Sus scrofa: one gene and its partner. The protein of the gene in region 1 interacts with the protein of each later gene in a biochemical or structural test. Links are inferred from orthologs where the notes say so. Each region holds a gene or a part of one and is shown on either strand. Other genes may lie near its edges.

Evidence for each region.
Region 2: the proteins of CRYAB (region 1) and CRYBA1 form a complex in vitro, tested with the Homo sapiens proteins (2 studies listed by BioGRID and IntAct, with this or other methods). The link is inferred for Sus scrofa from reciprocal best matches to the Homo sapiens genes CRYAB and CRYBA1.

Annotation. Positions count from the first base shown.
Region 1 is NC_010451.4:39,640,609-39,644,283, forward strand, and holds the start of CRYAB (alpha-crystallin B chain), read right to left. Parts: upstream 2,832-3,675; 5' UTR 2,555-2,831; intron 2,371-2,554; coding exon of another isoform or gene 2,277-2,370; exon of another isoform or gene 2,141-2,276; intron 1,395-2,140; 5' UTR 1,380-1,394; exon of another isoform or gene 1,290-1,379; 5' UTR 1,197-1,289; coding exon 996-1,196; exon of another isoform or gene 466-995; coding exon of another isoform or gene 419-465; exon of another isoform or gene 1-418. Other genes in the region: HSPB2 (heat shock protein beta-2), read left to right, coding at 2,277-2,370, 2,832-3,286. UniProt on the Homo sapiens protein: May contribute to the transparency and refractive index of the lens. Has chaperone-like activity, preventing aggregation of various proteins under a wide range of stress conditions.
Region 2 is NC_010454.4:45,465,160-45,468,909, reverse strand, and holds the start of CRYBA1 (beta-crystallin A3), read right to left. Parts: upstream 2,860-3,750; 5' UTR 969-2,859; coding exon 924-968; intron 1-923. UniProt on the Homo sapiens protein: Crystallins are the dominant structural components of the vertebrate eye lens.

The DNA.
Region 1 (3,675 bases):
TCTGCTCGGGTAGTTGGTCCTCCCCTTTTAAGCTAAAAATCCTTTTTTGAATAAACATGGTTCTCTGGTTCAGGGGGCACACCACTTGGTCATCAGGCCCAAACTTTATTTACAGGGAAAAAGGCCACTCAGGGGATAAATCGCAAGGATGGGTCTGGGCATGGCTTCTGCTGCTTCTCTGACCCAATGCCTGGCCTTGTCATTTGTCTGTGGTACAAAGGCTGCTTCTTCTTGCTCAGGTCTCTGCCAAGTTTCCCACCCACTCAATCTGGAATGTTCTGCTGGCTCTGATTGTCCTTCCAAAGCCCTTGTCCACTCAGCTCCTGTTTATTTACACTTGAAAAATTTTAAACCAGAGTGTTATCTGTGACAGCTTCTGTCAACCTTATCTGTTCCCCTCATTTTCCCACACTCCTAGGACAAGTTGGGGGGTCAGAAAACTGGACCTATATTCTTTCCTCGTGAGCCTCGGACCCAGGCCAGTGCCCTGTCACAGCCTTGAGAAACCTGGAAAATCACAGAAGAGGGAGTGGAAGACAATAGTGGTTGCTGTCTCCAGCTGCACGCAGCAGGGATGAGGTAGGACTGTCTCCTGGCTCTGAAACTTGAAATGATAGTATTTGTGAGGAGTGTGAGGTGTTAGAAGAGGTGAGCAGGAGTCTGAAGGCAGCCCTTGCACTGTAGATCATTATGAACCAAACTGGAAAGGGACACCCTACTTAGAAGAAGAGGATAGAGAATGACCTTTGTAGCACACGGGGAAAATATAAGAAGTGGAATACACAGGGGCGTCAAATCCAAACAGGTGCCTGCGTGGGGGGGAGGGGAGGAACTAGGAACCCCATCTTTCTCCACTGCAGGACACACAAGTGCCTAAAACCCTTGAGACCCTTAGACACAGCCACATTTAGGCTGGGAGGAAGAGGAAAGTGGATGGGGACGCTTCCAGGAGGCTCCAGAATGCACTCTCCTGTCGGGGCAGAGGGGATACTTACCTCTGAGAGCCCAGTGTCAATCCAGCTGGGTGCCCGCAGGAACGAGGGCGGCCGAAAGTAGAAGGGGCTCAGGGAAGTAGAAGCTGGGAAGAGATCAGACTCCAACAGGTGTTCTCCAAAGAACTGGTCAAAGAGGCGGCTGGGAGAGTGGAAAGGAAAGAAGGGGCGGCGGATCCAGGGGTGGTGGATGGCAATGTCCATGGCGGCTGGGTGGATGTAGAGGGTCAGCTGGCCGGTCAGCTCCTTCAGCTGCAGCTCCAGCCAGCCCCTTATATACGCAGTCTTGTGAAGCTTCTGGAATGGTGATGTCAGGGGTTTTATTATCCCAGCTCACCACCCGTTCATGGAGACTTGTGATCGGGGATTTGGCAGTGTGACACATACCCAGTACTCACTGAGCTAAGAAAAGAGAAATACAGACACGTCTGAGCTGGCCAGTGGCTTGTCCTGGTCTTGTTTCACTAGCTTTCTGTCCACACCCAATGGCACCCTTCCCCCATCCCCTTCCCTGGAGTTGGGACCCAGTCAGGAATCCCAAGCAGGCGGGCAGCGGGCCCCTCCTCCTCTCCAGTCCAGCATGCCAAGGGAATGGGGCCAACAACTATCTTGGGCCTGGGCAGGAACTGGAATCTTCCTAGGCTGGGCCCCAGGGACATTAACTCTTTGTGGGGCCCTGGAGGAGAGCAGTGATCACCAGCATGTCAATGGCAGGTTTCCGTGTGGTGCTCTGGGTTGCCCCCGGTTCAGAGAGGCCCCTGATATGTCAAGACCAAAAGGCCCCTCACCGCACCCCCCAAAGAAAGGGCAGAAAGTTGTTTGCATCTTTCGCTTTACGTGGCTGGCAGAACCTTAAATCCAGGGGAGTTTTATGGAGTAGGGTGCCTGCTGCCTGCAAGTGAGGAGGAGAAGGAGGGTGTGGAAATGTACACCCTTTTTCGCGAGGGTCTCAGCGAGGCCTTTCCCGGACCTCCGCACCAGCCTCCCCTGCCCAGCTCGCTCCGCGGCCAGGACCCCCAGCTGTCCCGGGGGAGGGGGGAGGGAGGGGGCGGGGATGTGACAGCTGAAGAGTGTGCTAGGGAGGGGACGGGGGTCCAGGCGGCGCGGGTCACACAGCCGTCGCGGGCGCTCCTCGCCCCTCCCCCCAGGCTCGGCACTATTTTGGGTGGTGTAGACCCCGCCCCCACTCCGAACGCACCCTGGCCCTACGGCGGCAGCTGGAGGGGTCCCGCTGCGACTGTTGGGGCCGCACCTCGGACCTGAGCCGCCGCCGCATCTGCAGCCATGTCGGGCCGCTCGGTGCCACATGCCCACCCGGCCACCACTGAGTACGAGTTTGCCAACCCGAGCCGCCTGGGTGAGCAGCGCTTCGGGGAAGGTACGGCCCGGACACCACCCCCTTGCCTCCCACCCCCACCTCCTGAAATTCTGGGCTGACCTCCCAAAGATCCTGGCCTCCACCCCACTCCAGGCTTAAGTGAACTCCTGGGGCGAGCCGTCTCCCACCCCAGACCCCCCCACCCCACCCCTTCTAAGCTCGGCTCCCTCCCCTTCCTGCCTACCTTGGTGCGGGCTGTGCCCGCGGTGCTGACACCTGCCGCGTCTGCCTGGGCGTGGGGGCTTCCCCTCCGACCCCCCAGATCGCGTTAGGTTTGCTCCCCGCCCCCATTTCCCTTCTCAGTCCCCTCTGTCCAGTCCCTGTCATCCCTCCCTCCCCTGCTTCTTCCGACTCTCCCCTCCTCGCTCCCCGGGCCTCACCCCCGATCTCCCCAGAGTTCACCTCCTTCCCACCCCTCGTCCCTCATCCCGCCTCTCTCCTTCTCCCCCTCTGCCCCCCAGGCCTCCTGCCAGAAGAGATCCTGACCCCCACCCTCTACCACGGCTACTACGTCCGGCCACGGGCAGCCCAAGCGGCGGAGGGCAGCAGGGCGGGGGCCTCGGAGCTTCGGCTTAGTGAGGGCAAGTTCCAGGCCTTTCTGGATGTGAGCCACTTCACCCCAGATGAGGTGACCGTGAGGACTGTGGACAACCTGCTGGAGGTGTCTGCCCGGCACCCCCAGCGCCTGGACCGCCACGGCTTCGTGTCCCGAGAATTCTGCCGCACCTACGTCCTGCCTGCGGATGTGGACCCCTGGCGCGTCCGCGCCGCGCTCTCCCATGACGGCATCCTCAACCTGGAGGCGCCTCGGGGTGGCCGACATTTGGACACAGAGGTCAATGAGGTCTACATCTCCCTGCTCCCTGCACCTCCTGATCCAGAGGAAGAGGAGGAGGCAGCCGGCGTTGAGCCCTGAATGTCACAGACCCAGCACCCAGTTGAACCCCTTGCTAGCCCCCGCCCCCACGGTGATACGGAGCAGCTGCCCACCACCCTAGAGGTAGCAGCATCCTTGGGGGAAGGGTGAAGTGCATGGTCCACAATGTATGGTTTGGTCCCTTGGGACGTGTCATAGCGTTTTTTCGTTTAGTTTAGGGTGGAGCTGAATAAACCCAAATCTCAGGGCCTGGTTTGTGCTGCTCCCTATTCTGTGACCTGGACAATGGGATGGGCAGGGAGGGAAAGACAAAAAGGACAGCTAGACAAAAAGCTGCTCAGTTCGATGTACCCAACGTCACAGCACCCTGAGCTCACACTTGGATGCTGAGATCACACCCGGAAGCTGACACTGGCTCCAGATCAAAT
Region 2 (3,750 bases), on another chromosome or scaffold:
CTCCATATGCTGCGGGAGTGGCCCAAGAAATAGCAAAAAGACAAAAAAAAGTTAAAAAAAAAAAAAGAAGGATTTTGAACTAATACCACTGTTCAGTGGTACTCAGGTGCCCAGTCTAGGGATGAGGTGTGGGGATTGGTTTATGATAGGAGTGGTCCCTCAGGAATGTTAGCTTGCGCAGTGGGCATACCAAGGACTTGTGAACTGCTCCACTATGCTTCCTGCCTAAGTGTGGCCCAGAGGCGAGGATTCTGGGAGACCCAGCAGCTCCCTGTGGAGTATTTATTAGCTTCTCCAGCCATACTCCCTACAGAAACCTAAAGTGTAAAAGGAGAGTTGCGATAAACTCCTTTCATACCTTGAACTAGAACTTGACTCTTCAACCTGGCTAGAGGACATCTCCCAAAGCTGTGAACTGGACTCAGAGTTGATCCAGTGAAGAGGGTAAGGGTGTTGGAGGAAACAGTGGCTGAGGCTCAGCCACTTCAGGCAATGGTTACAACCAACCTCATTTGGGAGTCAGGAGACCAGGGTCCAGTCATTTATTTGGGAACTGGTGGCCAATCTCTCCTCATTTGGAGGCCCTCAGGTTCTCCTTGTCATAAGCCATTTGGGCTGCTTTATTTTATTTTAAAACGATTTTAGCAGTGTGGAGGAGAGCTGACCTAGAAAACTAGATATCATCTCCCACCCATCATGGGCTTCCAGGATCATCCTTCTTCCATCCAAATGGGGCATCCTGAGAGATCCTTCCTGAGACAGCCTCTGGACTTTCTTGGAACCTTACCCTACAAAAACTGGTGTTGTATTGGTCAGCCACTGTTGCATGGAAAAGCACAGCTCTGGAGCCTACCCTCTGATAGTACTCACACCCCCTGCCCTGATGGATTCCTTGATTTTCCATGTGATGGGGATGGGCTTACCTTCCATGGCCCCACAGACCCCGGCATGGGGTTAGTTTGAGCCATCTTGGTGGTTGGAAGGGATTCTGGAAGACAGAAAACACACCAATGACATGGCCTCTGGGGTGGGGGATGAGGAGCACAGGAGAAAGTAAAAGAGGCTTGAAGTCCAATAAATAGACTTTGGTTGGGATCCTGGCCCTGCCTGTCACTAGCTGAGCCTCAGTTGTTTTCCATTGTTAAAGCTTCTACCCGCAGAGTTATTACAAGGATTAGTAGCAATAACGCAGCGAAGGCATTGCACAGGCATGATGACCACTTGATAAATGCAGTTCTCAGCCTCTTGCCTGCCTCCAGGCACCCACTACAGGTGGCAGCATTGCCTCAGTCTCACGTACCCCAATAGAAACTCCTTGGTGACCATCTGACCCCTCATATTGCCAGTGCATGGTCTCACTCTCACCTGGCTCCTCAAAGCCCTCAAATTGACCGGCTGTGCGTGGTCATGCTACATTCCCACCCTACTTCTCTTCTAGACCTAACCAGCCTTGGTCTTGCCTCCTGAACCTTTGCTGCCTTCCCCGCCTATGGCGGCTTGCTTTCTTTCCTACTTTCAGCACTCATCACAGTACTGATCTGTGTTCCTATTGAATATGTCCTGGGTGAACATCTCAAAGGCAGGGCCGGGATCTCCTGAGTGGTTGCTGAGCACATGTCGCAGTGGTGAGGGCTTGAGAAGGGGAATGGGTGGCACTGAAAAAGACCTATTGATGGAAAGTGAGGAAGAAAAGAGGATGACAGCAATAGCTACCACTGAACGATGGCTCACTCTCTTCCAGGCCCTGTTCTATATGCTTTATATGCATTCATACATTTAATCTTCCCAATGAGCCTATTAGGTAAGTACTGTCATTACCTTCATTTTACAGATGAGGGTACTGAGGCTCAGAGGGGTGAGGTAGACAGAAAAGATGATAGGAAAGGTAAAGGAAGGAAGAACAGGGGGAAGGGGGGCGGGAGGCAGGGCAGAAAGAAGACAGGCAGGTGTACATCAGTTTTCTCAACAGCCATTCATGGCCTTTGGCTCTGGCTGGTATTGGCCCAGAGACTGATGCATGTAAACTCTGACAGATCTTTCCATCCTGAACCTCCAAATAAGCGTTTCCTAGCTCTTGCTCACCCCCACTTCTCCCTATGCCCCAGGAGCTGGTCATTTCTTGAGGCTCCATGTCCCCTCCCAGCTATGATGGCTAGGGCAGTGGTCATTGTCCTGTAAGTAACTCCTTTTGGGGTGGCAAGAGAAGCCTGCCTCCCCCAGAGTTCCCCAGTCTTCTCCAGCTATCCTAAGAAGCCGTGACTACAGGGCAGGAAAACGGGGCCCCCTTCTGGGCATGCCTCTGCAAGGGAAGGAAAGAAGGACCAGAGCACCCCTCAGGGCCTTACTCACCCAGCTCCTGCTGCAAAGTCTGGGTCTCCATCTGGTGCCACTTCCTCTACGGCTCTGCTTTTTATAGCTCTGTGGCTGATGGCCTCTGGCTCTGTCAGCACTCTGCTTTCCCTCTGCTTTTGTTTCACCTGATCCCAGAGCTTTGGTGGCTCAGCCTGCTGGACAGGCATCCCTCAGGGCTTTGTTTAAATGTGGGATACAGAAATCCAGAGAGGCCCCACTGCTGTGGGCGAGGCTGGCCATGCAGGCCTTGCCTGCTGCAGACTTGCTCTCAGAGGAGCTGGGAGGTGAGGACAGGTCTCTGCAAGAGTACTTGCCCCCTGGCCTTTCCAGATTCCTCACACCACCCCAGGACCTTCCTAAGATTCCATGTCATATCCAACACAGCAAAATGCACGTCACTTCTCATACAGGATATACATGTGTTGCTGTTGTTTAAAAATATGAAAGATTCAGAATTCCGGTCGTGGTACCGCAGAAACGAATCCAACTAGGAACCATGAGGTTGGGGGTTCGATCCCTGGCCTCCCTCAGTGGGTTAAGGATCTGGCGTTGCCGTGAGCTGTGGTGTAGGTTGCGGATGCAGGTTGGATCTGGTGTTGCTGTGGTTGTTGCTGTAGGCTGGCAGCTGTAGCTCTGATTCGACCCCTAGCCTGGGAACCTCCATTTGCCATGAGTGCGGCCCTAAAAAGCAAATATAAATAAATAAATAAAACTAAAAATATGAAGGGTTATTACAATTCCGAGCTCTATTAAGAAAAATAAATCGGGAGTTGCTGTCGTGGTGCAGTGGAAAAGAATCCGACTAGTATCCATGAGGATGCGGGTTCAATCCCTGGCCTCGCTCAGTGGGTTAAGGATCTGGTGTTGCCGTGATCTGTGGTGTAGGTTGAAGATGCAGCTCAGATTCCTCAATGCTATGGCTGTGGTGTAGGCCGGCAATCCAGCTCTGATTGGACCTCTAGCCTGAGACCTTCCATATGCAGTGGGTGCAGCCCTAAAAAGCCAAAAAAAAAAAAAAAAAAGAAAGAAAGAAAAAAAATTCATTCACTATTTTTGGTAATCTTTATAATTGCCATATTTTTATGTATAACTGTTTAAGAGTTGAACTCAGTTATGGTCAGCTGGTAGACATGAATCTCTCTCTGTAGCTATATTATTAAATATTGACTCTTTAACGTTGCAGTTGTCTTTCAAAAATTTGGAGTTGGTGTTCCTGCTGTGGCACACTGGGTTAGGAATCTGACTGAAGTGGTTCTGGTTGCTACAGAGGTTCAAGATTGATCCCCAGCCTGTTGCAGTGGGTTAAAAGGATCCAGCATTGCCATAGATGTGGCTTGGATTCAATCCCTGGCCTGGGAACTTCCACATGACATGGTGTGGCCATAAAATTTAAAAACA